4 linked regions of the Tamandua tetradactyla genome follow. The protein of the gene in region 2 interacts with the protein of the main gene of each other region in a pairwise test. Links are inferred from orthologs where the notes say so. Each region holds a gene or a part of one and is shown on either strand. Other genes may lie near its edges.

What was found.
Region 1: the proteins of TPM3 (region 2) and SYCE1 interact in binary tests that used the Homo sapiens proteins (3 or more experiments, as listed by UniProt). The two-hybrid records come from large-scale screens. The link is inferred for Tamandua tetradactyla from reciprocal best matches to the Homo sapiens genes TPM3 and SYCE1.
Region 3: the proteins of TPM3 (region 2) and KXD1 interact in binary tests that used the Homo sapiens proteins (3 or more experiments, as listed by UniProt). The two-hybrid records come from large-scale screens. The link is inferred for Tamandua tetradactyla from reciprocal best matches to the Homo sapiens genes TPM3 and KXD1.
Region 4: the proteins of TPM3 (region 2) and LCA5L interact in binary tests that used the Homo sapiens proteins (3 or more experiments, as listed by UniProt). The two-hybrid records come from large-scale screens. The link is inferred for Tamandua tetradactyla from reciprocal best matches to the Homo sapiens genes TPM3 and LCA5L.

Annotation. Positions count from the first base shown.
Region 1 is NC_135339.1:96,812,029-96,819,198, reverse strand, and holds the start of SYCE1 (synaptonemal complex central element protein 1), read right to left. Parts: upstream 3,010-7,170; 5' UTR 2,952-3,009; coding exon 2,873-2,951; intron 1-2,872. UniProt on the Homo sapiens protein: Major component of the transverse central element of synaptonemal complexes (SCS), formed between homologous chromosomes during meiotic prophase. Requires SYCP1 in order to be incorporated into the central element.
Region 2 is NC_135330.1:7,154,260-7,161,671, forward strand, and holds the start of TPM3 (tropomyosin alpha-3 chain), read right to left. Parts: upstream 3,017-7,412; 5' UTR 2,934-3,016; coding exon 2,817-2,933; intron 2,237-2,816; coding exon 2,111-2,236; intron 1,944-2,110; exon of another isoform or gene 1-1,943. UniProt on the Homo sapiens protein: Binds to actin filaments in muscle and non-muscle cells. Plays a central role, in association with the troponin complex, in the calcium dependent regulation of vertebrate striated muscle contraction.
Region 3 is NC_135337.1:96,084,595-96,092,513, forward strand, and holds the start of KXD1 (kxDL motif-containing protein 1), read right to left. Parts: upstream 3,002-7,919; 5' UTR 2,892-3,001; intron 2,704-2,891; exon of another isoform or gene 2,190-2,703; intron 405-2,189; 5' UTR 384-404; coding exon 283-383; intron 1-282.
Region 4 is NC_135336.1:102,196,854-102,204,557, reverse strand, and holds the start of LCA5L (lebercilin-like protein), read right to left. Parts: upstream 3,005-7,704; 5' UTR 2,916-3,004; exon of another isoform or gene 2,777-2,915; intron 2,771-2,776; exon of another isoform or gene 2,499-2,770; intron 1-2,498.

The sequences.
Region 1 (7,170 bases), on a different chromosome or scaffold from region 2:
AAGGGCAAAGGGCTGGAATAGACATTTTCCAAAGAAGATATAAAAATGGCCAACAAGAACATGAAAAGGTACCCAACATCATTAATCATTATGTAAATGCAAATCAAAACCACAAGGAGATACACCCAGTAGGATGGCTAGAATTCAAAACATGAAAAATAAGAAGTGTTGGATGTGCAACAAGGATGTAAAAAAATTTGAACCTTCCTGCATTGCTGGTAGGAACGTGAAACACTGCAGCCATTGTTGAAAACAGTTTGTCAGATCCTCAAAAAGTTAAAATATGACCCAGAAATTCCACTTCTAGGTATATATCCAAAAGAATCAAAAACAAGGACTCAGATATTTACCTGTTCCATAAATGTATAAACATTTACCAATGTATATGTTGAATATGGCAGTAATTTTAATATTATGTTGTGAATAATAGCAGCATTATTCAAAAAAGACAAAAGATGGAAACAGCCCAAGTGTTGATAGATGAATGGATAAACAAAAGTGGTATAGACAGTTGATGGAATATTATTCAACCATAAAAAGGAATAAAGTTTCTTATACATGCCATGGTTGAACCTTGAAAATATTATGCTAAGTAAAATAAGACAGACACAAAAGGGCAAATATTGTATGATCCACTTACATGAAATATCTGGAATAAGCAAATTCATGGAGACAGAAAATCAAATACAGATTACTAGGGGATAGAGGAAGGGAAATTGGAGGTTATTCTTAATGGGTACAGAGTTCGCATTTGGGGTGTTGACAAGGTTTGCCCATGGATGGTAGTGATGGTAATACATTATAAGAATAATTACTGCCATTGGATTGTACACTTATAAGAGGTTAACAGGGCAAATTTTATGTTAATTATATGTTACTACAATTAAAAAAATTAAAACCAAACACTTGTACAGTATGAGCCCTCTCCTTTTAACTTTTTATTTTGAAATAATTTCAAATTTATATGAAAATTGCAGAAGTAGGACACAGAGATCCTTTATACCCTTCACCTCAATTTCTCACTGGCTAATATTTTTGAATCTTTGACAATAAGATGCACACACAATGTCCCATTACCCTTTAATACTCCACTGTGAAGTTCTGAAGGTCAAGAACATTTTCCTATGTGGAAACTACAATACAACAATCAAATCCAAGAAATTAACAGTGTTATTAATATCTGATCTTTAAATACCATTAAAAAATTTCTCTTTCTCCTTTCCACTTTAAAATTCCACAAGTACTACCCACATTTCCCTAACAGAAAAATCAAACAATGACATTGAAAATGTCCCTCCACTTCTGCACACACACCCGCAAATCCAAATCCCCTTCCCAGAGTCATCAATTAGGAACATAGGTCTCAGCAGACACTTTCCTGTGAAATGGAAACTGGGGTACAATTAACACAATTTTCCAACTTGCTTTCTTCTCATATCTTTTAACTTCCTGTATCCATTATAAATATATATAATGTAAAAATTAAGTCCAATACATTTGACTTTAATTATGTTTCTTCCTCATTTTAGAAATCTAATGCCCAGGTATTTCATGGTGTGCATGTGTATACTTGGATTTAGCCATTCCATTCCCATGTTTTGCTATGAAGAGCAAGGCTCCAGCACTGTTTTTGGTACATGGATCTGTGTCTTGTGTGATCCCTAGGAAGGTGACTTTCTCAAGAGAAACCTGACTAACACAGTGACTAAAAGGCAAACAAGTTATTTAAATGCTAAAAATTTTACCAGACGGGCTACTGCATAGTCTTTACCTACTGTTTTTCCCACCAGCTTGTATGTGAAGACCTGTGACACTAGATAGCACCCCTGCTCTCTTTGAAACAATCTGATGAACTGAAAACAGAATCTCACTTTCTTTTAAATTTCTTCCATTGATGGTAAAGTTGATTAAATCTTCATGCAAATATGTCAGCTTATTTGAGGAACTGGAAAGAGAAATACCAAAAGTCTTCTTTAGGACAGTGGCAATCACTGCAGCTGCATAATAAAAGGGATATACATGCATCTGTCTTGTTTCTTTTCTGTTGTCCTTAGAGGAGGGCTGTGGTAGGGTGCCATGCTGTATCCTAAGCCAGCTTTGTGCTAAACTCACCTCACTGTTCAAATATTTATGTGTAAATGTGCGAAGCAGGCTCTGTTGTAAGCAAGTTCGGAGGGAGCGACCGCCACCTGCATTGACAAAGCACCTCAATGTGCCTGAACGGGTGGAGCGCGAGCCAACCTGACAGGGTCAACAAGTGACCTCATGTGGGAGTCACTGCACAATTCCATGTTACATACATCTGAAATCCCCACAAAACACCCAATAGCAGGGGGAGAAGTTTTCAATTCTCTACTCTGCTGGGCTGCGATCTCTGAACTTCTGAACAAATTAAAGGGGCTGCCATGTCCCTCTTTCCCTGGACAAGGGGAGTGCCGTCACTCTGGTCAGTGTCAGGAAGAAAAGAGGGACTCCGTGGGAGGAAATCCACGTGTAAGAGCCACTATGGGATAAAGAGGAGAATTTGGATACCGGTTGGTTGTGAGATGAAGATAACGGGAATTATTCATTCCCTTAAGTGCGGCAGGAGAAGAGAGAGTTCTTTATTTTAAGAGGTACGAACGGAAATTCTTAGGAAAGAAATGAAACGACGTCTTGAGCAAAATCTGGATCAAATAATGAGTTAAATCCAGGTGGGAGGAATGTGGGTAAATGTGCCTCCCATTTGTGGAACAGCCGAGGCTTCCCACAAACGTGGCTTCCATCTGGAGAGAGCAGGGGATGCCTCCCGCCCCTCCGCCGGCGCCTGGTGCCCCGAGCCCCTTCCCAAGCCCAGTTCCCAAGGAGGGCCTCGCCGCCTCCACACCACTACCTCCAGCTGGCTCCACGCTGTCCACGGCTCCTGTGGGCTCCGCGCTCGAAGGCCCCGACCTTCCCGCCATTTCCGCCATTTCCGTCCTACCCGTTGGTGCCTCACGTGATGATTGGGCCCCACCCTCGTGGGGGCGGGACGGCCGCAGCACGCCTGCGCAGTGCAGCCTCAGGAGCCGAGGGTGTTGGTTCCGGGCCTGCGCGAGGGCCGAGCCAGCACTGGCCAGTTGACAGTCAGTGTCCTGCGCATGGACACTACTGCCGGCCGCGCCAATCTTCCACGCTGGTGTTGCACTACTGTGCATGTGCGCAGCTCTCTGCCCATATTCTTCCTCGTGGGTGGTATCTTCATTCCGTGCGTGAAAATTCTGGACTTCAGCACGGCTCAGACATGACGAGTGTTCTGCCCGGACCATACAGGCCAGAATGTACCTGTCTCACCTTATCAGTCTTTAAACCACAAGCTCTGATGGCGCTGCCTCTCGGCAGGAGCAGAGGAAGCAGAGGAACGCGGGAGGGACGAAGGAACACCCGAATTGGAAGTTCAGTCAGAAGGCCGAGCCCTGGTGCAGGGCTAGAGAGTCAGGCGCGAGACATCATCCAGTGGGCATGCAGAGGAAGGGAAATGGGGTCCAAAGTTTCCACAAGCCAGGCGCGTGCCTGGGGGTCCTGACGTTCACCTGGTGCATGGTCCCCCTGCCATGCATCCCCCCATCAGCGTCGGCCACAGGGTCCCGGACACCCCCATGCTGGGTCTGGAGAGAGGGGCTACGAACAGAAAGCCCTTGGCTCCCCACTTGGCCCCCATGAGCTTCCCTCTGGAAACCCGGCAAGTAGCTGCCTGGGGTCAGACTCCTGGGCAGTGGTGCAGTGCTTCAGCAGGTTGTGGAGCGTGTCCTCCTTCATGTGGTGCAGGAGGTGGTCACCTGGGGCCTGAGGCAGGTGGAGCTCCAAGGAGGAGATCACCGGCAGGGCTGGGAGAGGGATGAGGATTAGAGGGTGGCAGAGCCACCCCAACCCCTTCTAGGGCTGCCTCTTGGCCATGCCTGGAGGTTAAATTAATGTTTCTGCACGTTAGTTAATTAACGTAGATTGTGGGACCTGGGTGTGAGTGGTACAGGATTGAAGGACCTCAATCTGCTCATCTGTGGGCTGCAGTCACCTGACACTTAACAAATGTTCTAAGAGCACCCCCCCCCAGCTTTCCATATATGTAGGTTAGACTAATATGCAACTGCAGGTAGCACTTATCAAACATTGTCCAGTTGTTCCAGTACCATTTATGAAGAGACTATTCTTTCCCCATTAAGTGGACTTGACACCCCTGTCATGTGTGGATTTACTTCTGAACTCAATTTTATTCTAGTGCTCAATAGGCATGTCCTTGTGCCAGTACAACACTGTTTTGTACTGGCACAAGGGCATAGTTTGTATTAAGTTTTGAATTGCTAGATATAGCAATTCAATTGCTAGGTATAGAATCCTTAGCTGGCAACTTTTTTTTTTTTTTACTGAACTTTGTTATCCCCTTGCTTTTTGACCCCAATGGTTTCTGATTAGAAATTGGTACTTAATCTTACTGAGGGAGCCTTGTACATGATATATTACCTCTCTGTTGCAGCTTTAAGGATCCTCCTTTTTTTCCTTTGGCATTCAGCAATTTAATTACAGTGTGTCTTGTGGCTCTCTTTGGGTTTATCCTGTTTGAAGTTCATTGTGATTGTCTCTCATTAAATTTGGGAAGTTTCTTGAATGTTCTTTCTGCCTCCTCTCTTTTTCTCCTTCTGTGATTCCCATAATACTTATAGTGATGTTTTAGTTTGTTAATGCAATGTGCCAGAAATGGGTTGGCTATTATAAAGAGAATTTATTAAGTTACAAGTTTATAGTCCTAAGGCCATAAAAAAAGAGATGAACTAAGGTATCCAGAGAAAGGTAACTTGACTCAAGAAAGGCTGATCTGGGAAGACGTGTGGCTGACATCTGCTGGCCGTTCAGCTTTTGGTTTCAAATGACTTAGCCAGGGGCATTTTCTTTCTGCATCTCCAAACGTCTTTGTCTATTGGCTTTGAAGCTTTTCCCAAAATGGTTCCTGCTTAGAGGACTGCAGTGAGCACGCCACCTTGAATGGGTGGAGTACATCTCCATGGAAACCACATAGTCAAAGCATCCCACCCACAATTGTGTGGATCACATCTCCATGGAAACAACTTAATAAAAAAGATCACACCCAACCATATTAAATAACATGGTTTTTCTGGGGTACACAACATTTTCAAACTGGCACAATTGGTATGTTTGATGGCCTCCTACTGGACTCTTAGGCTTTGTTCAGTTTTCTTTGTTTCTGCTCCTTAGATTGTACAATATTAATTGTCACATCTTCAAGTTCACTGTTTTTTTCTTCTGCCAGCTCCAATCTGCTGTTGAACCACTCTGAGGAATTTTTAATTTTAGTTATTATGGTTTTCAGCCCTAGTATTTATTTTTTTTTAACTTTTTTATTGTGTAGTATAACATATATACAAAGAAATAAAAAAGCAATAGTTTTCAAAGCATTCCTCAACAAGTAGTTACAGGTCAGATTCCAGAGTTTGCCATGGGCTACCATACGATCCCCTCAAATTTTTCCTTCTAGCTACTCCAGAATATAGGAGGCTAGAAGGCTTAAATATTTGTTTTATTATCACAATTGATTATTTTTCCTTTTTTGTGAAAAATAACATATATACAAAAAAGCTATAAAATTCAAAGCACAGCACCACAATTAGTTGTAAAACATGTTTCAGAGTTTAACATGGGTTACGATTCCACAATTTTAGGTTTTTACTTCTAGCTACTCTATAATACTGGAGACTAAAAGAGACATCAATTTAATGATTCAGCATTCGTATTCATTTGTTAAATCCTATCTTCTCTGTATAACTCCACCATTACCTTTAATCTTTCCAACCCTCTCTTTAGGGTTGTTTGGGTTATGGTCATTCTAACTTTTTCATATTGGAAGGGTCTGTTACTAATATGGGGTAGGGAGATGGAACTATCTGATGTTCTGGAGAGGCTGGGCCCTCTAGGTTTCAGGACTTATCTGGACCAGGGACCCATCTGGAGGTTGTAGGTTTATGGAAAGTTACTCTAGTGCATGGACCCCTTGTGGAATCTTATATATTGCCATAGGTGTTCTTAAGGATTGGCTGGAATAGCCTTGGTTGGAGGTTGACAGGTTATGATAGGTAGCAAGGTCTAACTGAAGCTTGCATAAGAGCAACCTCCAGAGTAGTCTCTCGACTCTATTTGAATTCTTTCTACCACTGATATTTTACACTTCTTTCCCCCCTTTTGGTCAGCATGGGATTGTTGATCACATCATGCCAGGACCAGATTCATCCCTGGGAGTCATCTCCCACATTGCCAGGGAGACTTTCACTCCTGAATGTCATATCCCATGTAGAGGGGAAGGTAATGATTTCACTTGCTTAGAGAAAGTGAGGCCACATCTGAGCAACAAAAGAGGTCCTCCAGTAGTAACTCTTAGCATGCCTATAGGTAGTCTAACCTTCTCTGCTACATACCTAAGCTTCACAAGAGTAAGCCTCATGATCGAGGGCTTGGTCTATTGAGTTGGGTGTCCCTAAAATTTGACACAGTATAATGACACTCCCTGATGGTAAGATTTAATAGTTTCATATTCTTTCTTCCCTCCTTCAGGGGACTTTACCAGTACTTTTTGATTATCTGCTTAATATACTCTAGGATGTATCCAGGCATTACAATATTCTGTACAAGATTATAGGCCCTCTTTCTTATTCTGGGCTCCTGGTTTTTTAATTGTTGAAATGAGTTATACAGATCGGTTGAATTAGATTATGCCCTACATAAAATTTCGGTTCCATTGGTCTCAAAGACTATGTGTGCATCTAAAATATAAACACTGTCTTCCTTACCCCTATTTTCTAAATTACTTTAACCCAAATCTGTTCAACTTCTTTCTTATCTCTAAACATCAGGTTATATATATAAAACAGCCTCTTAAAATACAGAAATAATAATCACCACTCTGGACTTAATGTGTCTGCTCTAAAGCTTATAATCTAGGCCCCTGTGTTCTTATAAACATTTACTAAAGGTGACCATACCATTCTTATTCTTTTGTTTCTGGCTTATTTTGTCTCACCAAATGTCCCACATGTTCATTCACATTGTTGCATGCCTCAAGACTTTGTTCCTTTTTGTAACAGCACAACCTTCATTCATAAGTATACACCATTGATCGCCAATCCACTTCTCCATCAGTGCATC
Region 2 (7,412 bases):
TAAACATGCAGTTACTGACTCCCTCCTCCTCCTTCCCTTCACCTTACATTTACAACAAGGTAATATGCTCTATTTACTTATTAATCTCAAGGGCAAAAGCTGAGCTTTTAACTTCCTTTATACTGGACAGAGCATCGTTCCCCCAAAGATGCATATATTATGCTGCGTATATTATGACTCTAACTCTTGCTCTCCATTTTAAATCCATTGCCCCTTCCTTATTTAGCCCATAGGCAGAACTGTGCTAACCCCCGCTTTGAGAAAAGAAGGCTTTTCTTCCTGCTTCCATTTTCAACCCACCCGAACAGACTTTGGCTTCATACCCACAACCTTCCTGTCCTATTTCTTGTTCTCTCACGTATCTCTAAGAATACTTCTTGGCCTGTTGGGAAAATTAACACAGGGGAGAGAGGTTTTGTCCCCACACTCTACATGTGTCATTGGTTTTTGTTAGATTCCTGTATAATTGTGAGGAGGCGTCTTTCAAATGAATATACTGAGTTGACCATATCTAGGTTGGGGTGACGTGGTTGTGTGTGTGTATGAGTGGTATGTGTGAGAAACAGTTAATATTCATCCCCAGGAAATTTCTTTATCTTTCTGATAATATGACTATATTGTCTAGAGCCTCTTTTTCCCTCTCCCTCTCCCAAGATCTCAGGTTAGACTTGTTTGGTTTTATTATTTTCATCACTCCTGGAAAAATCTCAAGCACACATGCTAGCTGTTTCAGCATAAGGACTTTCTCAGACAGTTAATACCCAACATCTCACAAAAATGTTATTAACCTAATATTGTGGCAGTTTTTGAGAGCTTCTATCCCCATGACAGCTTACTGGATCCAGGGAGTCTATCTGGAAACTAAGATCGGGCAACTCTAGCAGATCATCAAGCACTCGCCCAAAGCCCTGGGTTTTTTTTTTTTTTCTTCCAGTTTTTAAAGAAAGGATAATTAGTGGTTTGCAAAGCTCCAAACATTTGGAAACTATGGGTATATATAATATATATTATCCACTTTCTATGTGGCATCATATATTCAACTGTTACCACTTCTAGAGGCACTGAAAGTAGTGGAAATCGAAAGAGAAGATCTGAAACCTAATAGCAAAATGGCTGAATGTAAGGATCTGAACTTATTTGTGAATGCCCACTCTGTCCCTCTAGCTAGTTCCCAAATCCAAATATGATTTTCAAGTAACACATGCTCCTATTTTCCTGTTAATTCAGTTCTCTGAGAATTGTTAACTCAGTTCCCTCAGAATTGACTGTTTCCATCAATACTACGATATTCTTCTGTCACTGTTAAGATTCCTAAAGTACATTTCTCCCAGGAATCTTTCCTATCTAGTCTCTCATTTATTTTTGTGGTAAACTTCAAGGTTGAAGATGAAGGAAGCTAGGTGAATGGAGGATAATATGAAGTGGAAAAGAGGATTTATTTCATTTTCAAATGGGAAAATTCAGCCCTTGAGAAGCTGAGTGATTTACTCAGGTTCATAGAGTAAAGTCTGGTGGTGATACCCTTATACCCTAAGATTACTTCTTAGCTTCTATTATAGTCTAACACTATATGAACCTCCCTGCTGCCTTATGGCATCTCCTGGCATGAGGACAGATGTCCAGATTGGCCAAGATAAATAAATCCATACAGGGCCAGGGTCAGTGTGTCCTCTTAAGCCCATTGTGAAATCTGAGCTGTTTTGGGGGAAGCTGGGAGATGAGAGATTCCCTATTAATACACATATCTATGTGCCAAGTTTTGGACACAAAAGCTAAGAATGTAGCATGGGGGAGGAGGTAAGAGTATCAGCAGCCTGGACTTGGAGTCCCTTCCCTTTGTCTAGTTCCTGGGAAAGAGAATTAAATTCCAGGAGGCATGAGGGTAGATAAAAAAAAATATGAGATTTCTATATGTCTTAAAAAAATAAATATATATACCATTATGAGGGTGTTCTAGCATGTTATTATATGCAAAGATATGAGCGAGTATATATTTCTGTCTTCTGTGGACATACAAGTATGTATATGTTGAAGTCTGTGTGGAATTTAGTCATACATTAATGTGAACATCTTTATATAGAGATTACACCATCCCCCATCTAATACTCACATCAGCTGCCTTCTTCTCTGCCAGCTCCAGCTTCTCTTGGGCATCCTTCAAAGCCTCAGAATATTTGTCCAGCTCATCCTCTGTTCCTTTCAGCTTCTTCTGCATGGCTGCTAGCTCATCCTCCAGCTGCAGGAGTCCAGAGAGACACACAAAAACACACATACATAATAGTGCAGCCTTGGACTCTTGGCTCTTGAACGCTAATAGACTCTTGAGTTCAGCCACCATTTTACTATCCAGAGAGACACAATTTCTCTCTCATCATTTTTAGCCCCTGCCCCAAGAGTTATGCTATGACTTGGCCTATGTCTTTGTAATCTCTGACCCTAAGATGACCAAGCCATGCTGGGTTTTCATCTAAGACCCTGGGATGGCAAATATTATCTAAGAGTATAAATGTCTGTGACTCCATTTAAGGAAAAAGAGATGCTGCACGCCAGGCTCCCACCTTTTCCTCTAAAAGTCAGGGATTCTTCCAAAAGATGGTCCATTCCACTTAAATCCTTAGCACGGGCCACTGATTTTCCCAACATCACACAGGTAGTTTGAGGCAGATGTCCTCTGGCCTTCAAATGAGATTGGAGAAAAAAGTCCCTCCTACCCAAAGAAGAAGGTGACAACAGTGGTCTCTTCCTTTCCCATGATAACTCTCCCGTCTCACTATTTTGTTGACCAGCATGTAAGTGAGACCAGTGCCAGTGCCTACCTGTTTACTTCTTTCCTCTGCCTGTTTCTGCTCGGCTTCAGCTTGCTCTGCCCGATCCAGAGCATTCTCCTTGTCCAGCTTCAGCATCTGCATCTTTTTCTTGATGGCCTCCATCATGAGCGGTGGTTATTGGTGGGCTCACCTGGAGAATTGGAGACTAGGTCAAGAAAGGAGGGGCTGCTGCCTGAGTACCTAGGAGTTGCCTAGACTTGAGCCTTTATATCTGCTCTCAGCTCCACCTCTTGTTCCTAACATGGTCTTTCCAGCTCCCTCCATCCCATCTTTGTTTTCCTGGGGGAACACAGGGTGAGACACTTTGATAGACTGACATCACCAGCAAAGAAAAATTTGGGAACAGCTGAGGCTGATTTTAGAAAATGGAAAGTGGGGGAGGAGGCTCTCCCTGAACCCTGAAACTTTCCACTCATTCTGGGAAGCACTATGGTTGTTTTAAAAGAGCAGGGAGAGGGCCAGGGGAAGAGATAGCATTGATATCAGAGAAGGGGACTTTGGAAATTATAGAATGGCATTGAGTTTTCACCCAGAGTCCTAATTGCCCCTCAGCTTCTCCCTTACTCTCACCCGGACTGAGCTGGATACTGATCAGACTGCACTGTTTTTTTTTTTTATCATTTGATTTCTGGTAGTCAGGGAGCTTTGGCAACAATGAAGAGGGGAGGTCATTCATGATCCTTGACAAATCCCCCAGATCCCCAGATCGAATTGCTGTGTTATTTTGGGAATCCCTAAATGGCGGGGTGGGGGGCGTGGACATCTTCCTCCACCCTCCACCCACCCCCCACCGAAGAACCACAGGAATGGAGTAAGAGGGTAGGTTGGAATCTGGAAGGCCATCCCAGAGCTTGAAGTAGGGTGGGGAGAGAAGCAGGGGAGGGTCAGAGTGGGCGCGACAAGATAATACCCTCTTCTTCTCATAGTGTCTTTTAAATAGAACTTTTGTGCCCATACAGACCAAGGTTTTACTGGTCTCTACTCTTCTTTCCCCTCACCCTCTGCCCTTCGTACACCCCACCCCCCACCACTCATATCACAATCAGCAGCAGTAGCAGCTCTGTGCTCCCTGGCTCAGTTCCAGGGCATGTTCATTCTTCCACTTGGAACCTTTTTGCTAACAGGTGGCAGTTGATCCCAGTACACTGGCGCCATCCAACCTGAGAATACGCCAGGGGAGAGGTGGACACTGCTCAAGGTGACCAGAGCTATCAGGGGAGAATATAAATGTCTCTAATTAGTCATTATATCAAAGCTAGATTGAGAGTGTTAATGCTAAGCCCCAGCAATGGGGAAACGGAGATGACCTCCAGGGAAGATGGCAGAGCTGGAATCCACTTCTGAGGGCTTCAGTCACTAAAAGTAGATAAATTGATCATCAGATGTTTCTTGAAGGAAAGCATAGAAGCCCAAGGAAGTAGGGAACAAAAGAGTCCCAGGGAGTAGCAAATGATAAGGTGGGAGACAGGCTGGTGGGGGTTGAATAAGGAGGAAAAAAATACAAGGGCAGGAGGAGATAAGGAAAAGAGCTATATCACCTTTGTCATCCCACTCCCACATCAACACTTCTGTTTAAGATTGAAATCATCATGGGTTTTAGCAATCGGTCATCCAGAAGGGGTCCTGGAAAGAAGAGGTTCACTAAAAAAGCTAAGAATCACAGAGCCCAGAGGTTGAGGTAGGATAAAGTATAATGCTGAATCGCCAACTGCTGTAAGAATGTTTGACATTTAGTTGGTTTCTAATTAAACAACCCAATATCAAACATATCAGACAGAAGCGGGCAGGAAAGCTTTGGTGGTCATCTGCCTTCCTCCCTATTGCAAAGAACAGGCAGTGCAGGTGAACTAGGCATCGATCATAGCTAGATGGCTGGCTTTTGCTCATCAGCTCTTCATGCCATCCCTGCATTTGCTCCTCTCCTTCCACTGCTCTGGCCTTTACTGGATCACGTTGCCCTAATACCAGGGAGGATACCTGGCAGGGCTCCACATCCGGGCACCTATCCTCCTCAAAAGCTCCACAGAGCTTCTCCCCCTCATGTCACGGCTGCAGGACTCTGAGGATCAGCAGTGTCAGCAGCTTCTCCTCAGCCTGCGACTTGCTCTCCTCCTCTCTAATCCAAGTGTCCCGAGGCTTTCCATCCCAGAGGGGCTTGATACCCTGCTATATCTTTTCAATAGAAATCCTAACCTTTCCAGATCACCCCCACAAGGCTGCTGAGGTCCATTCTGGCATCCTCCTGCTCTTAAGTGAAATAGCCAGAGAAATTCCCAATTGCTTGATTTCTTTTTTCCAACATTTTGTCCCTTCTCACCTTCTCCCCATGTCCTCCAGGCATCTTCCTTAAAACCACCCTTGGATGTCCAAAACAGAGGAGTAACTAGTCTCACAAGCATCTCTCCAAGTTTGGCAGCCTCCAACCTAAGCTCAGAGGAGAAAACTTAGGGTTTCCACTGCCTGGCAGGATCAAAACTAAGACTAAGAGACCAAGGGAAAGAAACCCCCTCTACCAGGGAGCAGCCTGAAGTCCTTGGGACCCTCCTCCTCTTCTCTTCTTCAGGACTTTTTGCCACAAGAACACCAGTGCCGGGGCTGCTTTCTCCAAGGGTGTTCCCTCACAGGGATCTGGCCTGGTTTCCTTCTGGGGGATTTTCCTTCCGAAGAGAATCAGATCTGTTGAATGTCATGTGGCAGGCAGATGCTTCTCTACACTGTGGCAGAAAGGATCACGGGTTATACCAGTATGTGGGGGTGGGGTGGGGGTCTGGGGTAGAAGTGTGGGGATGGGGGAGGAGGCTGTGCTGCAGCCTCAGGGCCTGTTCCATGTGTCCTTGTTCCCATTAGTGCAGATACCCATTGCCCCTCCTTCCCCACACCAGCTCTCCCCTGCCCTTCAACTGGATCAATACCCTGCCCCAAGCCCCAGTCAATTTCTGTTGTGTGGCTCTTGCCCTCCAGGGGAAGACTAACAGCACCCAGCTAGGCACTTGTGGTATTCTCTCTCTCTCTTTTTTTTTTAATGCAATTTTATTGCGATACATTCATACAGCACAGAACCCATCAGAAGTACACAATCACTGATTCACAGCATCATCACATGGTTGTGTGTACAGCCCCATGATCAAATTCAGAACATTTTCGTTACCCAGTAAAGAAATAAAAAGAAAAAAGAAAACCTTAAACCTCCCATACTCCTTATCCTCACAGATTATTGACCCATAGTGTTAGTGTGGTACATTTGTTACTGTTTATGAAAAAATATTAAAAATTGCTATTAACTGTAGTCCATAGTTCGTAATAGGTACATTTTTTTCCATATACCCCTCTATTATTATCTGCTTTAGTTCATGAAAGTACTTTTTAATATTTGTACCGTTAATCATGGATGTTGTCCTGTGGTGTTCTCCCTTTTTTTTTTTTTTTCCTGTGATGTTCTCTTATATCCTTGTTCCTTCATGGCTCCCAATGGGGGTGCATGTAATTTTTGCTTTCTTGCCCTCCCTTTCCCTAACCCACCCCCCAATTTCTAATTCCCTTCTCGGAGAACTTTGACCACATTGGATAACCAGAGGTTAAAGGGAGGCAGGCTGGGAAAGGAAATGAAAGGACTTTAGTGTTCAGGGAAATGGGGGACTGGAGGGACAGCCTGGGAATACGGAGGTGGGGGGGAGCAACTCTCTTAGAGGAAGGAGACTTTGACTGGACGGCATACAAGGCAGACACATCAGATGGACTTGAAAGTTGTCTAGCTCTCCTGCAAGGTCCTCTTCTGCAGCCATGTCAAACAAGACTGAACCCTTTTGAGCCAGAGAAGCTGGGTGAAGGCACTAGTTTCAGATGGAAGAAGGGCTGGCTGGGCATGAGAAGGTGAACTACTTCGTTGATTTGATGAGAGCAGACAGAGTAGAGCAATAGAATCAGAGGAGAGGGGCTCTCTGGGAGGGGCAGCCTGCCAATACTGGAGCTAGCCTGGCATTGACAAGCCCTGGGGAGAGAGGCCAAGGTCAGGGATCAAGGCAGATGGGGTGGGGTATTCTGCATGTCCAGATGAACAAAGGAAAGAGGAACAGAGGAATAAAAGAGGTTCCTGAGGAATGTGGTTTAGGTAGGAGCAGCCAGGTAATGAAAAGGAAATAACAGAACATTATTATAGGGCAGGAAGACATCATCATGGGTTACCATTATTTGACATTATGTGCCACCTCCCCGCTAACTGCTTTATATAGTCTCCATTGCAACCCAATGAGGTAGAAATAATCTCCATTTTACATATAAGCAACTGTGACCCAAAAAGTTAAGACCACACAGCCAGTGACAGAGCTAGGATTCAAACCCAGATATGTTCAATGTTAAAATCTGTTTTTCTGACCAAGCTACACTACTTATATGAAAAGCAAAGAACAGCCTGGGATACAGATACATAGGAGGATAAGAGAGGAGGTGAAGGCAATATAGGCCTGCTGAAAAATAGAGGGCAGGGGAACGGGCAGAAAGGATGGGAGACTCATACAGATTTGTGGGTTAAATTCAGGCTGTGTGTGGCTTTGTCTCCTGAAACTCACCTCCTATTTGTTGTGACTT
Region 3 (7,919 bases), on a different chromosome or scaffold from region 2:
TCCCACTCCCTCACCCCCCCAGTGGCCCACTGCTGTCCCCCCAGCTCTCCCCAGCCCAGGCTTGGGACAGGAGTCTCGGCAGCCCACGCCAAGCCATCCACAGCTGCAACCCTTCCCCGGCCCTGCTTCCCGTGCCAAGGCCTCGCCTCCAGGCCTGCAAGGAGTTCGCTCTGGAGCCAGCCAGGCAGATTTGCTCATTTCCTTCGTTTTATCCCCAGCGCGGGCCTGGGACAGGGGCGGGGCTGGGCCCCCACTCCAGGCCGGCGCGTGGCCGCCACTCACATGTTCTTCTGGGCCTGGATGATGGCGTTGACGTCGTCCGCGTCCACCATGTTCAGGATGCGGCTGCAGAAGACCCTCGAGGCCGAGTCCGGGGGCTCCATCCCTCCCTCTGTCTTCGCTGCCTGGAATGGGCAGGAAGAGCCTGGTCAGTGCCAGGCCCCAGGTGGCGTCACTAGGCCCCCGAGCCTCAGCTGGGAATTTGGGGGGGTTAGGAGAACTAGAGGAGGTTGCTTTGGGCTGAACTGTGTCCCCCCAAAAGACATCAGAGTCCTGGCACCCAGTGTTGCAAACGGGGCCTCCTCTGGAAGGAGGGCCTCTGCAGCTGCCGTCCGCGAAGCCGCAGTCATGATGGAGCCACGCGGCCCCTGACCCACTAGGTCGGGGAGCTGGACCCACATGGACAGGGGCAGAGAGGAGCACACCGCTGCACAGGCAGTCTTCAGGGGAGGTCCTGCTGCGCAGGCACGTCCCACCCAGACCCCTCCCAGTTCCTCGGCCCCCAGGGCCCTGGCATTCTCGCCTGCGGAGCTCAGTCAGCCGCCTCCCTTGCCTGCTCTGCTCCAGGGCCTCTGCGCTAGCTGTTTCCATGGCTGGACTGTGCGCGGCGGCCCCTCGAATCACCATTCACCCCCACGGACTCCTCCCCAAGAAGTCCTACATGGCCACCCCGACCCTGCCCCTCATCACTTGGCCTCGTTTGGATCTCTTCATTCCAAAAATTATCTCCATCCTGAGCTGGCCTGTTGGTCTGCTGCCCCTGCCTCCACGGCAGCCCCAGGAAGGACCCACATCTGTCTTGTTCGCTCCTCTGCCTCCAGGGCTGACCCAGAACCTGGCTCATAGTGCTCCCCAGAACTTAGCTGACATAAGAGTTTTATTACCAAGTTAAAGCCAAGGGTTTCAGGCTCTGGCCACCCAGCTGTGCAGCACCCATCTTCCCTGGCAAAACTCAGGCTGAGGGTTGCTTCCCAGGCCCTTGAACAGGAAGGGTCACGGTTTCCATGCCATCCCTCCTGGAGGGGGTAGGAAAAGCCTGAAATCCCAGCTGGCTTAGCTCTGGGGCCCATACATGTAGTGGCTGACCGACAGGGCTGGTTAAGATCACAGTCCGCAGAGCCTGTCCACCCTCCCATTTACTGGACACCTGCTGGATGTCAAACACAGCACCAAAACCGCACACGGAGAACTGTTAACGTCCTTATTTACGGAGAAGGAAAGGGAGGCTCGAAGAGGCTGAAAACGTGACCTTGTCCCACAGAACAGTGGGCCCAGGCGTCACAAACCCCATGCCCACTGCCCTGCGGGCTCTACAGAGGTGTGACTCTAAACAGGTGTCCAGTGGCCACCCGTGGTGCATAGCTGCTTCCTGCAGCAATCTGGGCCAGACTTCTGACTTTTTCCCCCCAAGAAAAAATGGAAAGAGAAATTTCTTTCTGGGCGATCTGATCACCTCATTCACAAATGTTAGTAACTAACATATATTCTTTCCAAAACACCATGGAGGCTCGCTCCTACTCCCGCCCCTCAATAAGCCCCTCAAATCATTGCTAGGGGTTGACTGACCTGCCACGTGACAGGCAAGGGCAGAAACATTCGCACATTGCCAGAGAAGCCCAATTATCCATGGTGTGAAAAGTGACTTGGGGTCCAAGGACCGGGTACCATGGCCACAGCTAATGCCTGGTAGAGGCAGGGTGTGGACCCATGGGGATTGGTTCCATTTCACGTTCTTTCTTGCCTCTGGCGCCACGGCCCGCAAGTGCACACACGAACGCCAGCTGCCTCTCTCAGGAAGCCCTCCCTGACTAACCATACAGAAGATAAATGATCCAGCCAGGGCTCAGAATACATTTATGGGGGTAACACGTGGAGAGGGAGGCTGTGTGAGCTTGGCAAAGTCGCTGTACCTCTCTGAATCGGTTTTCTCATCCGAAATGAGACTAAGGAAGAGTGGGGTTCTCAGGATGCCGTCGGCGGGGACGTAAACCACGGAGGTAAAAGGCGGGGCTCAGAGCCGGGGTGGGGTGGGGAGCGGTGTCTGATGCAGTCCTGGGAGGGGCCCAGAAACCAGCACCTAAACGAGTGCCCCTCCCTCTCCGGGCTCCCAAGAATATAAGCAAACGCTGGTACAGAACTTCGGTTAATCCCGATCAACCCTTGTGGCAGGCGCTCTGTGCTCTGGGGGAAACTGAGGCTCGCAGGTTCACTGCCCAAGGTCACGCGGCGAAGCGCGGAGGCACCGCGACGCCACCTGGGTTAGAGAGCAATAAAGCCGGGACTTTGCGGCCCGAGGTCAGAAAAACCCCGGAGTGGGTCGGAATCCCCTCCTCCCCTCGGGTCCCGCCCCTGCAAGACAGGGAAACTAAGGCCCAAGCCCGACAGAGCCTGGACGGAGGCATCCCCAATTCCCGCGCCGTGCGCACCCACTGCGCAGACGGGGACACTGAGGCCTGCGCGCAGGAGGGGAGCCCAGATGTGGCCAGCGGCGCTCCCACCCCGCGGCAGCCCGGGGACCGAGGCCGACCCCGCCCGGCTCCCCCGCGGCCCCGGCCCGGGCGTCCCCGGCCCCACCCCGACCCCGCCCCAGCGGCGGCGGCGGCGGCACCTACACATCTGGCGGCCTTGCTCGCGTTTCCGGGATGGCGCCCGCGCCGCCGAACGTCACCACGCACCGTGCGTGCATGCTAGGATGCGCGTCAACGACGAGCCCCGAGGCCAGCGCGCGTCGTGCGCGGAGACGCGGCGAGGCGGGGCTGGACGCGATCCCCTGTTCGCTGTGCGTCAGAGTGAAGAGCCAATGAAGAGGTCCCTCTCGCGCCTGCGCAATTCCCAGCTGCAGCTCCGAGACAGCCCGGAAGTGGGGAGGCGCGAAACGGGGCTGATCCCTTCTCACAGATGAAGAGCCTGCGGTCCGAGAGTGGCCGGTGCTACCCTGAGATCGCTCACGGCTCCGGAACCAGGGCATCCGGCCCTGCAGGCTGGGAGTCAGCCTCGCCTGGGTTCCAAAGTCCCTGCTCCTGTAGAATTGCTGTGTGACCCGACAGACCCGCATTTGGGTATAAGCTCCAAAGATTTCAAAGCAGAGGCTGAGACAGACATTTGCACATGGATATTCACAGCGACGTTATTCACAACAGCCCAAAGATGGAAGCAGCCCAAGTGTCCGCAACAGACGAATGGATAAGCCAAGCGTGGTGCGTACACGGGATGGAGAATTACGCAGCCGTGGAAAGGAAGGGACTTCTAAGGGAACGCAGAAACGCGGATGAGCCTTGAAGATGCCATGCTACGTGAGATGCGCCAGACACAAAACGACAAATATTTTATGATCATGCTGATGTGAAATGACTAGAATAAGCAAATTTATAGCGTTAGAAACTGGAATATAGGATCCCCGGGGCCTGGGTGGGGGAAGGGAACGAGGAGTGGAGAACAGATTAGTGATAGCCAGCGTGAGCAGAATTAAATGGGATTGGTATGGCTATAAAGGGGTAGTACAACCATCTGTGTAATGATAGAACATTTCTGTATCTTCATTGTTATGGTGGTTTCACGAATCTACATACGTGCTAAAATTGCACACACACATATACAAATGAGTGCGCGTAAAAGTGGTGAAGTCTGGATAAGGTTTGTGGATTGTACCAATATCAACCTCCTGGCTTTGATAGCATACTATAGTTATGTTAGTGCTCCATTAGTGCAGACTTTCTGTTTGGGGTGAGGGAGACGTTTTGGTAATGGGTGGTGGTGATGAAGCACATTATTGTGTACTATATAATTAACACCACCGAATTATATATTTCAGGTTGTGTATGTGTTACCAGAATAAATATTTCTGAAAGAATCCCTGTGCCACCTCAGGTGATCCTTTTCTAGTGTGGGATCCCATCCTGGATGCCACATGCAATGAGTGCCAGGTGTCCCTTGTCCTCTCCAGTCAATGGCAGTTCGCCAGGCTCTCCGTCTTTCCTCACCTTAATACTTCTGAAGAGTACTGCTCAGTTTTTTGCAGAGTATCCCTCTGTGTGGGTTTGCCCTCGGGATTAGGTTGAGATGATGTGTTTCAGGTGTGCGTTTTCGTCGCCTTCTGGGTACCTCGCAGCAGGAGGCACGGGCTGTGGGTGTATCTGCTTATGGTGCTGTCCTTGCTTACAAAGCAGCGTGTCACTGGCTCCGCGTCCCAGCTCCCCGAGCGGCCGCCCTGTACCTCCCTGCCAAGGTTTCAGCAGACCTCACAAAATGCCATCTCGACTCGAACTCTCCATGGAAACTGATGATTACGTTTCACGGATATACCGGAGACAAAGGCTACTTAAAGGAGGACCTGAGAGTACTCATGGAAAAGGAGTTCTCCAGATTTTTGGAAAAATAAAAAGGACCTTCTGGCTGCGAACAAAATAACGAAGGATCTGGTCCAGTTTTGAGATGGCTAAGTGGGCTTTCAGAACTTCTTTTCGCTAATTCCTGGGCTCGCCATTGTGTGCAATGATTGTTTTTCAGTACAAGTGAAGCAGATGGGAAAGAAGTGCTCAATTTTTGTGTCTTATGTGACATTCTTCTACCTTCATAAGAATTATCCCCAGAGTCACGTAAGGAATCTACCCTACGCTTCCCCTGCATAAGGATTTCATAACAGACTGGGGTCCTCAAAATATGCACAAATAAAATCCAACTCCCATTTGACAAGTAATGAAAGAAAAGTCAGTAAAGTGCTAGATAAGCTTTTATTTTATGTTGTTTGCATCCTCGTGCCTTCGAGAAACAATTTTCTTTTCTAATACCTTAAAACAAAAAAAAGCAGTGTCTGCTAAAACTATAAACATGTGGCAGGTGCAAATGCCCCACTAATTTTGGCACCCAGGAACGGATCTTGCGGCAACAGTTAATACTGAGTTGTTTGCCCCGTGGTGGTTTTTGATTACCATCAGTCCTTGTACCGAGATTATTCAAATTCCGTGGCCCTTCTCCTTCAATTATTTGTTTATAGCACTATTACTCCATAGGCATTTATTTTCATCTATGGGTTATAAGTAATTGCTACCTGTAATTACTTTGCTGCCTCTTCCAGTTGACACCTGTGTCCTTTTCACGTGTTCCTGTCATTCTCTTCCTTACTTTTCTGACACCACAAGGTGCTCCAGGCTTTGGTATAGCCCTGGAATCAGCCATTTCTCCAAAAAGCCTCGATCCTTTTCCTGGAGAAGAGTGTTAGAAGTCAGGCCTGGGTCTTGGATGGGCTCCTAGGCCCTGCCAGCTGGGACGTAGACATGCAGAGACTAGCCTGTGCACACGCCCCCTCTATTTCCTTCCTGCTCTCTCTCCTCGTATCCATATTAAAGACTGTGTCCGCACGCAGCTGGGAAGATGCATTTTTACGTGTGGTCACCCAGGTTAAATGCATGAACCAAACCGGGCAAATAAGAATTGCTCGATAAGTGTTACTACTAAATTTCAGTCATCCTTGAGATAATATGCCCCATAGCACACTTCATCGTGGGCTGGACACATGCAGCGTCCACCCCTGCGGCTGCTGAGAGAGGGGAGATGTGGAGACAAGAATCTTCAGATGCAGGAATTGCCTTGTGGCCCTGGAATGGTTCCCCTCAAGGCCTTCTCCCAGCTCTGCCGTCCCATCCTGGCTGGGTGGCCTTGGGCAGGGCTTGTGCCTGTCAGCTGTGCTGTGCCCGTTTGCATCTGCCTCGCAGGGGTGCTAGGGACTCGTTCTGGAAGAGCGGACGATGGGGTCGGTGCACCGTGGCCCTCGATGAGCTAACTAGGTAACGTTACTCTTCACGCTCTGCCCCACTCGTTCCCTGAGAAGTCACTCAGGGACCCACCTCTTGGTGGGGCAACCTGCGGTCTCCTGCTTCAACGGTGCTTGCACAGGCCCTACTGTGGTCCCGGAGTGTCCCGGGGCACCCCCTCCCCCCAAAAAAAGTCAGTGATCAGCATTCTCATTTATTTATTCAATGAATATGTTTAAACATTGTTCATGAAGACTCCCTGCTACTCCCTCTCCAAGTGAACCAAGAGCTGGGGTTCCTAGAGGGCTTCGTCCCTGCCTAACCCTGGAGGAGGAGGGGAGACCCCATCAGGCCCAGGTGCCCCCACCTTACGGGGATCAGCGCTGGGCTAGAGGAAGGGACTCAAGGTTGAAGGAGCCTGACAGTGGGTAGTGAGGGCTCATTGTCGGGGCAAGGAAGGCTGCAAGGAGGTGCTGTACATGGGGACTGGGTTTTGAGGTAGGAATAGGAGCTCTCTGGCACAGCCAGTCATTCAGGGCTGAGGGAATCACAGGATAAAAAGCAGGATGGTGAGAAGATATATAGTGTGGACTTGACCTTTGTAAGAATTGGGGAACTTGGTGAGCCAGGCAGCAGCCTACATGGGCTGGGGAGCCGGGGTGGGGGCTGCCTGGAAAACGGAACCACGGCTGTCTGCAGGCCGCAGCGGAAGAGGCCCAGGCTGGAGAGACCAAACTTCTCAATGGGTCCCTTGGGCGCTGCTGGAGGCCAGGAAACATTTACGAGGGTCTTGGAACGGGGCTGGGGGCCTAATGGGCCTGGATAACCCCTAATACTTGGAGCACCACGGGGTGGAGGCCAGAAAAGGTTTTCCTCCTTTGTGTGTTGAAGGGAGAGGGTGGGAAGTGGCGGGAACGCTGCTCTGCCAGCAGCTGCCCAGGTGGGGGTGGACGGGGAAGTCTTTCATTTGCCCCAAGTGGAAGATCAACTTCCCCTCCCAGGTCCTCACCACAGTCCTCGGGCCCCAACGCAGTCTGGCTTCGGGTTTGTTGTCCCAGGCCCAGAGCCTTGTCCCAGCTGCTGAAAATCGGACTTTTCTGGCTCAGCAGAAATGGGGAGGCCCAAGTTTGGAGACCGGAAGCCTTTTTCCCCAGTTTATTTCCTCCGTAACACTTACCACAGCTGAGACTAAATACTCATTGACACCACCATTTGGATAACATCTGTCTGCCCTGGCTGGGAGGGAAGCTCAGTGGTGGGGAGGGGTGTGGCCCATCTTGCCCTTCCTCACTGTGTCCTTGATCCAGGTAATTAACATCTTTGTGCCTTAGTTTCCCCTTCTGGGAGATGACGGTCATAAGAGTCTTACCAAAACATACTCCACCAATCCAAAAGAAAGCAAAAAAGAAGAGAAAAAAGGAGTAGAGGAAAATGCATAACATGAAGGCATTTTGAAGCTTCGATGTGCACATAATTACATTAAATGTGAACAGACCAAAACTCCATTTAAAAGACAAAGATCGGCAGATTGGAACAAAAAGCAAAGCTGGACCGAGGCTGCCGACAACACACACATGCACCGTGTAAAACTACAGAAAGGCAGGAAGGAAAAGTCTGGGGGCTTTGGAAGTGAACCCACCGAGAGTGGGGGTGCCATTCGAGTGTCAGACAAAGTCCCCTCAGGCAAGAAGCCCAGAGATGCCATGGTCATGAGAGGTTCAGCTGGACAGGGAGATGCGACAAATCACCCCACCCCAGTGATGGCAGGACGTGGCTCCTGACACTGGTGAGTTTGCACCTGAGGTCAATGCGCGGAAAGTGAGGAGGGCAGCATGTGTGACCCCTGACACCACCGATGTGTCCCAGCGCTATTGTCATATGTGTTTACTG
Region 4 (7,704 bases), on a different chromosome or scaffold from region 2:
CAGTGTGGGGAGTAGAGTTGAAAAAAGTCAGGGAGAAGGGGAGACCAGTTAAGTCAAGAATTGCAGAAGGTCTGGCGAGGGAAAGCAGGAGCTTGAACCAAGGTGCCAAGTGAGGATGAAGAGATGAGAAAGATGCACAAGAGACAAAGCCACCATCGGTTGGTGACCCATTGGGTATTGGGGTGAGGGGAAGGGAGGTATCAAGGACGAATCTAGTTACAGTGGAAGCGGTCTCAGTGAGGGGTGGGGTGCCAGCAGGGAGAATGGTTAGCCTTGTGCATGTGGAGGTGGAGGTGTCTCAGAGATATTAAGAGGCAATGCCATTCAGCTAGGTGAATATATGGTGATCAAGCTCAAAAAAGAAGGTCAAGTTGGAGATGAAGTTGGGAATCAAGGACAAATAGATGGCATTAAAAGCTATGGGCAGGGATTTGTTCTTCAAGTCAGAATATAGGAGGCCTGAGAAGAGTGAGAAGGAAAACTGAGCTTTAAGGACTGCAATATTAGAGCAGCCCAGAGGAGAAGGGAGAACCAGAGTGCAAGCAGGAAAAGCATGAGTGTGGGATGCAGAAGCCAAGTGAAGGAGTGTTTCAAATCTAATGCAGTGGTGTCGAATGCTGCCGAGAATCAGAGGGAGACAGAGTCTGGAAATGTCTGTGTGATTAGTGGTTTTTGTTTTAGAATAGTGATGAGGGTAGAGGCCAGACTAGAGAGGGCTGAGGAATGAGACAAGGAATAGATGCACCAAGTGTGGCCATTCTTTAGAATACGTTTGCCTACCAAAAGGGAGGAGAGATTGGGCAATAACTGGAAACCAAAAGGGGATGAAAAGAGAGATTCTTTATTCTCTTTGTTCTGTGATGGGAAGTTTGAGCATGTTTAAAAGCCACGGGAGAGATTTGGTTGAGATGGAACTGGTGAATACACAGGGGAGAGATTGGGTAATTGATCATGCAGGGTTTTGGCCAGTGGGAGGGGATGGAATCCAAAGCATAGGTAAGGAGTGATCTTGGACAGGCAGAGGGAAGGAAGCAAAGATGTTACAGATGTAGGTAAGGCCTGCAGTTTTGGTAACTGGAGAGTGAGTGTATTTCTGAGAGCTTTAAGTTTCTCTATGAAGTGACAGCATAAGGGCAAGGTGGGAGATGAGATTTGAGTAAAGTGGAAGTTCATGATCCGTAACCTCCTACAGACCCTCAGCAAGTTGCAGCAATCCTACTGGGTTACTTTGGTCAATAAGGGATTAACCCAACGGAAAAAGAGAAAAAACAGGGGACTGGATAAAAGAGACTGGCAAGTGTAGGGGTATGAGGGCCAACAGCTTCCTGGGAGGAGTGGCCTGTTACATGGATCACTGCATCAACTCCGTGACTCACTCACTAGGGTCCAGTGTGCAGCCTGGGAACCATCACTTGCCTCCATCTCAAGATGCCTCTTTGGGTGATTATTTAAAGAAAGAGTACAGGACAGAGTCTAAATACCTACATGACTCCTTCCCACTTGGAAGAAGGCTCTGGATTTTATTCTTCCTTAGTCAACTGCAAAGCCCTTGCCATAGTCTGTTCCAGCAACAGTGTCATATTTATACCTAAAAAAGCTAAGGGACATCTTTCAATTTTAGCCTGTTAATACTAAGGTGCTTATATATTAGGCAAGTTTATCTACCTGGTTTAGAAGTTGCAATTCTCAAAATACTGATTAAAAATATTGTAGTTTTATCTATAGGAACTATAAAAATTCATATATATATATATTACTTATTTATATGAAAGAGATAGAGAAAGGGAATATAGTATAAGACTGTTAATGCTGAAGTTGGGGACAGGGAAAAACATAAGCATGGAGACCACCAAATCATGGTGGCCTGAAGACAATGTGGGGAGTGAAAAAAATAGAGGAGGTCACCAAGGCCCAACTGGAAGGATGGTTTCCAGTGACTCAAGTGGGTTAAGACTGTAAGGGGAGCAGCTCTGGGGAATATCAGCAGCTGCCTGGGACACGCTGAGTTTGAGATGGTAGACATTTAAGTAGAGCTGTGGGTAGGCACACGGGTCTGGGGAAACGTGCACTGGAGATACGCTTTAGGAGCTCAGGAGCAATTAGAGGTGTTTTGAGTCCTTGATACTGGATACATTCCTTTAGGGATCACTGTAGATTAAAAAAAGATGCAAGGTCCTGTCAGGCAATGACGACTGGTCTTGAAAAAAGCTAACTGTTGGCATAAAGTGGCAACGAGATGGTGCACACTAAAGAAGAAACTGTGGACAAAAGGGTGCAAGGCTAAGCAGGTTAGGAGCACAGAAAGAAGACACTGCTAAGAACTAGGATTTCCAAGTGCGGGCATCGACAAATGTCAGCCTTAAGGTTCAAATGAAAAGCAAAACAAAGCAAAAATTACATAAAAGCAAACTTGAAGGTACGAGATTCAAACAGAAAAGAAAAATACTGGCGAAAGCCTACGAACAGGGAAAAGAGGGTAAACCTCGGGCCACAGTTACCTCTGACCCTGGGCCACAAACCCCAGGGCCTTGGCCTTCCCCTCGCCGTGGCCAGGGCACCGCCCAGTTCGCGCAGAGTCACTTCGGGTCACCACCATCTGCCTGCCCGAACGCTCAGGGTTGCCCAGTCCGTCTGCAGTCGGGTTCAAGGGCCAGTTGGCGCCCGTCGTGCAGGGCACCGGTCAAACTTTCTGAACAGGGAGGGGCGCGCCAAAGGCTGCTCTTCAGCAAGCAGCGCTCCGCAAGAGGAAATGGCGGGACGACCCGGCTATGTTCACCTGTAGGTGACACGCGGGAGCGAGGTCGAGCTGGACTAGGGCTGGGTGACCGGGCGACGCCGAAAGACCCAGAAATAAAGTTTAGCCGGAAATTCGGACCAGAACGGCGAGCTGGGGGCAGAGGCGGCGGCGCCGTTACCTGCAACGCGCGACTCCGGCGGCAGCGCCAACCCCGCGACATCGGGCGCGCGCGCATCGCCATGGAAACCGACGCGCGGGGCCTTCTGGGACCGGCCGGCGGCACGGCGGGGCGCGCGCATGCGTACTGAGTGCCAGTTCCTCGGTTCATGGAGCTGCGGCGCTAAATTGCGTTTTGCGTGGGTGAGCGAGTGAGTCAAGCCTCGAGCTTTTCTTTGGAGAAGATGAAGTCATGTGAGTGTCCGGACGTCTGTGACTGAGTTTCCCGTCTCCGCTCCTTCACCCTGGCCTCACCTGGAGCGACCAGGGAGCCTCCCGTTTGTTCATCTGCTGAGCCGCTCTCGCCCACGCACTCCGGTGTTTCGAACCCGGGTCCGGCGTTGCCTTCGGACCTGCCTAACTTTAGGTGGCCCACGTTAGGACGCGAGTATAGACACCTAGTTTCTAGCTGAGAAGGGGGTGAACCCTCGATAATGGAGCTCTTCAAGTAGGCTTCCAGAAGCGGGCGGGTGTAGACCTCTGGTCCTCTGCCTGGGGAGGAACTGGACCCAGATCCGAGAGCTCCTTCCTTTAACTCACACTTTCAGGAAGACGGTTTGCTCTCCTGAGGGCTTTTTTTTTTTTAGAAAAACAAAGACTCCAGAAACTCGACCACAAAACAAGGGCTGTTTGGTGTAGAAAATTTAGAATGTACAGAAAAGTACAAAGAAAAAAGGTCCTCACATGATCGGATTATAGCTGAGTTTTAATGAGTGCGTATGGATGGGACATAATTTATGAACATTCGTATGTTTTTAAATTTTTGGGCATTGTATCAGTGCTGCATATTCTTGCAGATGAGTCTTTCAGTTAACCCAAGACTATTTCCTTAGGATAAATTCGTGCATGTGAAATTGTAGGGTAAGAATATGCCTTTGAAGGTACGCCAAAACGGCCTTCCAGGCAAGTGCCAGTTCAAGCAGTAGAGGAGCCCGCTCTTGGCCCATATTGGGAACTATCTTTTCCCTTTTAAATAACTTTGTCCAATTAATAGTGAAAAGTTGTCATCTTAATTGCATTCACTTTGATTACTAGGGAGGATTTTTTCATATCTTTATTGGCCGCTTGTACTTATTTTGTGATTTACCTTTTCCTGCCTTTTGCCCAGTTTTACAAAACAGCTTTAATCCACTTAAAGTGTATACTTCACTGGTTTTTAGTATGTTCATATACAAACCATCATCACATTCGTATCCTCCCATAAACTCCCATTCCCAGAGCCCTAAGCATCTATATCGTGCCCTATAGATATCCCTATTCCTTTGGTGAAGACTTCCGTTTGAATAGAATCATGTAATGTGGACTTTTCTGACTGGCTTCTCTCACTTAGGAAAATGTATTATGATGTTTGTGGTAGTTAGACTTAGTTGTCAACCTGGCCAGGTGAAGGCACCTAGTTCTGTTCCTGTGGACATGAGCCACTGGTAGGTGAACCTGATCTGTTGTTCATTACATCTGCAGTTGGCTAGGAGGCGTGCCTGCTGCAATGAATGATGTTTGATTTAATTGTCTGGTGCTTAAACAAGAGAGCGCAACCACAGCCCAAGCAGCTCAGCATACCTCATCTCAGCACTCGCAGCTCAGCCCAGGCCTTTGGAGATGTAGAAAGAAACCACCTCGGGGAAAGTTGTTGGAACCCAGAGGCCCAGAGAGAAGGCCAGCAGAGATCACCCTGTGCCTTCCCACATAAGAAAGAACCTCAGTTGAAAGTTAGTTGCCTTTCCTCTCAAGAACTAACGAAATAAATCCCCTTTTATTGTAGACCAGTCCCTCTCTGGTGTGTTGCTTTTCGGCAACTAGCAAACCAGAACAATGTTTATCCACACTGTACAACGTATCAGTACTTCATTCTTCCATGGCTGGATAATGTTACATTGTATGGATATACCACATTTTCTTTATCCATCCATCCATAAATAGGTATTAGGGTTGTTTTCACCTGTTGGCTATTATGAATAATTCTGCTATGAACATTTACGTTGAAGTTTTTGTGTGGAATTAATGTTTCATTTCTCTTAGGAATATACCTAGGCTTGGAATTGCTGGATCATGTGATAACTCCGTGTATAATTATTTGAGGAACTGCTAGACAGTTTTCCAAAGTGGCTGCATCATTTTACATTCCCCCCAGCAGTTTGTGGGGATTCTGATTTCTCCATGTTGTTAACACTTATTTTCCTTTAATTATAATCATCCCAATGGGTGTTTGTGGTTTTGATTTGCATTTCCCAGGACACTAATGATGTTGAGCCTATTTTTGAATGCCTGTTGGCCATTGAATATCTTCCTTGAACAAATACGTGTTCAGATCCTTTGCCTCTTTTCAGGGTAGGTCATTTCTCTTTTTATTATTGGGTTGGAAGTGTTTCTTTATACATTCTAGATATATGTCTCTTTTCAGATATAGGATTTGCAAATATTTTTTCGCATTCGTCAATTGTCCTTGTATTTTTTTAATGGTGCTCTTTGAAGCACAAATGCTTTTAATTTTAATTGAAGTTCAATTAATTTATATTCTTTTGTTCCTCATGCTTCTGGTGTCCTAGCTAAGAATTCATTGCCAGTGCAAGGTCACAGAGATTTATGCCTATGTTTTCTTTTAAAAGTTTTAAACCTTACAGTCTTTGACCATTTTGAGTTATTTGTTTCTATATAATACTGAGATAAGGGTCCATATTCTTCTTCTTTTTTTTTCTTTTCTTGTATCTAACCAGCCATCACTCTGTTGAAAAGATGATTCTTTCCCTAACGAATGATTTTGGTGCCTTTATTGACCAAAGGTGTATAGCTTTATTTCTGGACTCTCAGCTCTGCTCCATTGATGCATATGTTTACCCCTTGTGACAGTACCACAGCATTCTGATTGCCATTGCTTTATACTAAGTGTTGCAATTGTAAAGTGTGAATCCTCCTACTTTGTTCTTCATTTTCAAGGTGTTTTGGCTATTGTGGTTCCCCATATGAATTTTAGAATCAACTTGTCAGTTTGCACGAAGAAGTCAGCTGGAATTCTGATAGGGATTGTGATGAATTTGTAGGTAATTTTGGGGAGTGTTGCTATCTTAACAATGTTAAGCTTCCAATACATGAACATGGGATGTTTTCACATTTATGTAAATTTTCTTTAATTTCTTTAAACAATGTGTTGTTTTCAGGGTATAAGCTTAGCATTTCCTTTTTAAAATTTATTCTCAGTATTTGATGCTATTGTGAATGGAATTTTCTTAATTTCATTTTCAGATTCTTCATTGCAAATTTATAAAATACAGTTTGTGTTTATTGATCTTTTATCCCACAACCTTGCAGAACTTGTTTGTTTGTTCTTTTTATTGGGTTCCTTGGGATTTTCTATACAGAAGATCATGCCATTTGGGAATAAAGTAGTTTTACTTCTTTTCTGATTTGGATACATTTTTTTTTTCTTGCCTAATTGACCTGGCTAGAACCTCCGGTACAGTGTTGAATATAAGTGGCAAGAATGGATAGCCCTGTGTTGTTGCTGATATTAGGGGGGAAAACATCAATCTTCAATCATTAAGTATAATGTTAGCTCTGTTTTTTTCATAGATGTGTTTTATTAGGTTGAGGATGTTTCCTTCTATTCTTAGTTCACTGGGTGTTTTTATCATGAAAGGGTGTTGGGTTTTGTCAAATGCTTGTTGTGTGTCTATTGAGATGACCCTGTGATTTAAAAAATTCTGTTAATATGAAGTATGTATTAATTGGTTTCCAGGTGTTTAACCAACCTTCAATCCCTGGAATAAATACTGCTTTGTTACAATGTGTAATTCTTTTTATATTTTACTGGACTTGGTGTGATAGACTTTTCTTTAGGATAATTGTGCACATAAATATAAGCGATATTGGCCTGTAGTTTTCTTTTCCTGTGATATCTTTGTCTGATTTTAGTATCAGGGTAATACTGACCTCATAAAATGAATTGGAAATTGTTCCCTTCTCTTCCTCTTTTTGAAACAGTTTGTGAATAATTGGTGTTAGTTCTTTAAATGTTTGATAGAATTCAGCAATAAAGCCATTTGGGCCTGGGTGTTTTTTTGTGTGTGGGGGTAATTTTTTTTATTTTCCTCACTTTTTTGTAGGTCTCTGCAGAATGCTTATTTCTTCTTGTGTCAAATTTGGTAGTTTTTGTCTTTCTAAGAATTTGTCCATTTTATCTGATTTACCTAATTTGTTTGCATAACACTGTATTCTCATAATCCTTTTCATTTCTATAAAATTGATAGCAATGTTTCCTTTTTCACTTCTGGATTCTAGTAATTTGAGCCTTCTATTTCCCTTGGCCAATCTAGCTAAAGGTTCATCAATTATGTAGATTTTTAAAAATTCATTTAATTTTTCTTTGCTTTTTATTCTATATTTCACTAATTTCACACCAATCTTTATTATTTCCTTCCTTCTGCTTTCTTTCATTTAGTTTGCTCTTCTTTTTCCATTATCTTAATGTGGACGGTTAGATTGTTGATGAGATCATTCCTCTTTCTTAATATAGACATTTATAGCTATAAATTTCCCTCTAAGCACGACTTTACCCATATATCATAAGTTTTGGTATATTGTGTCTTCATTTTTATTTATTTATGTAAGAAAAATATCCGTACATACACTATGGACAATAGTTATAGTACTACTTCAATGATCTTTCATTGATTGTAACAAATGTAACTAATGTTAAAAAATAGTAGAATTATTAAAAAAATGTCATCATCAGTTATAACAAATTTTCCACACAA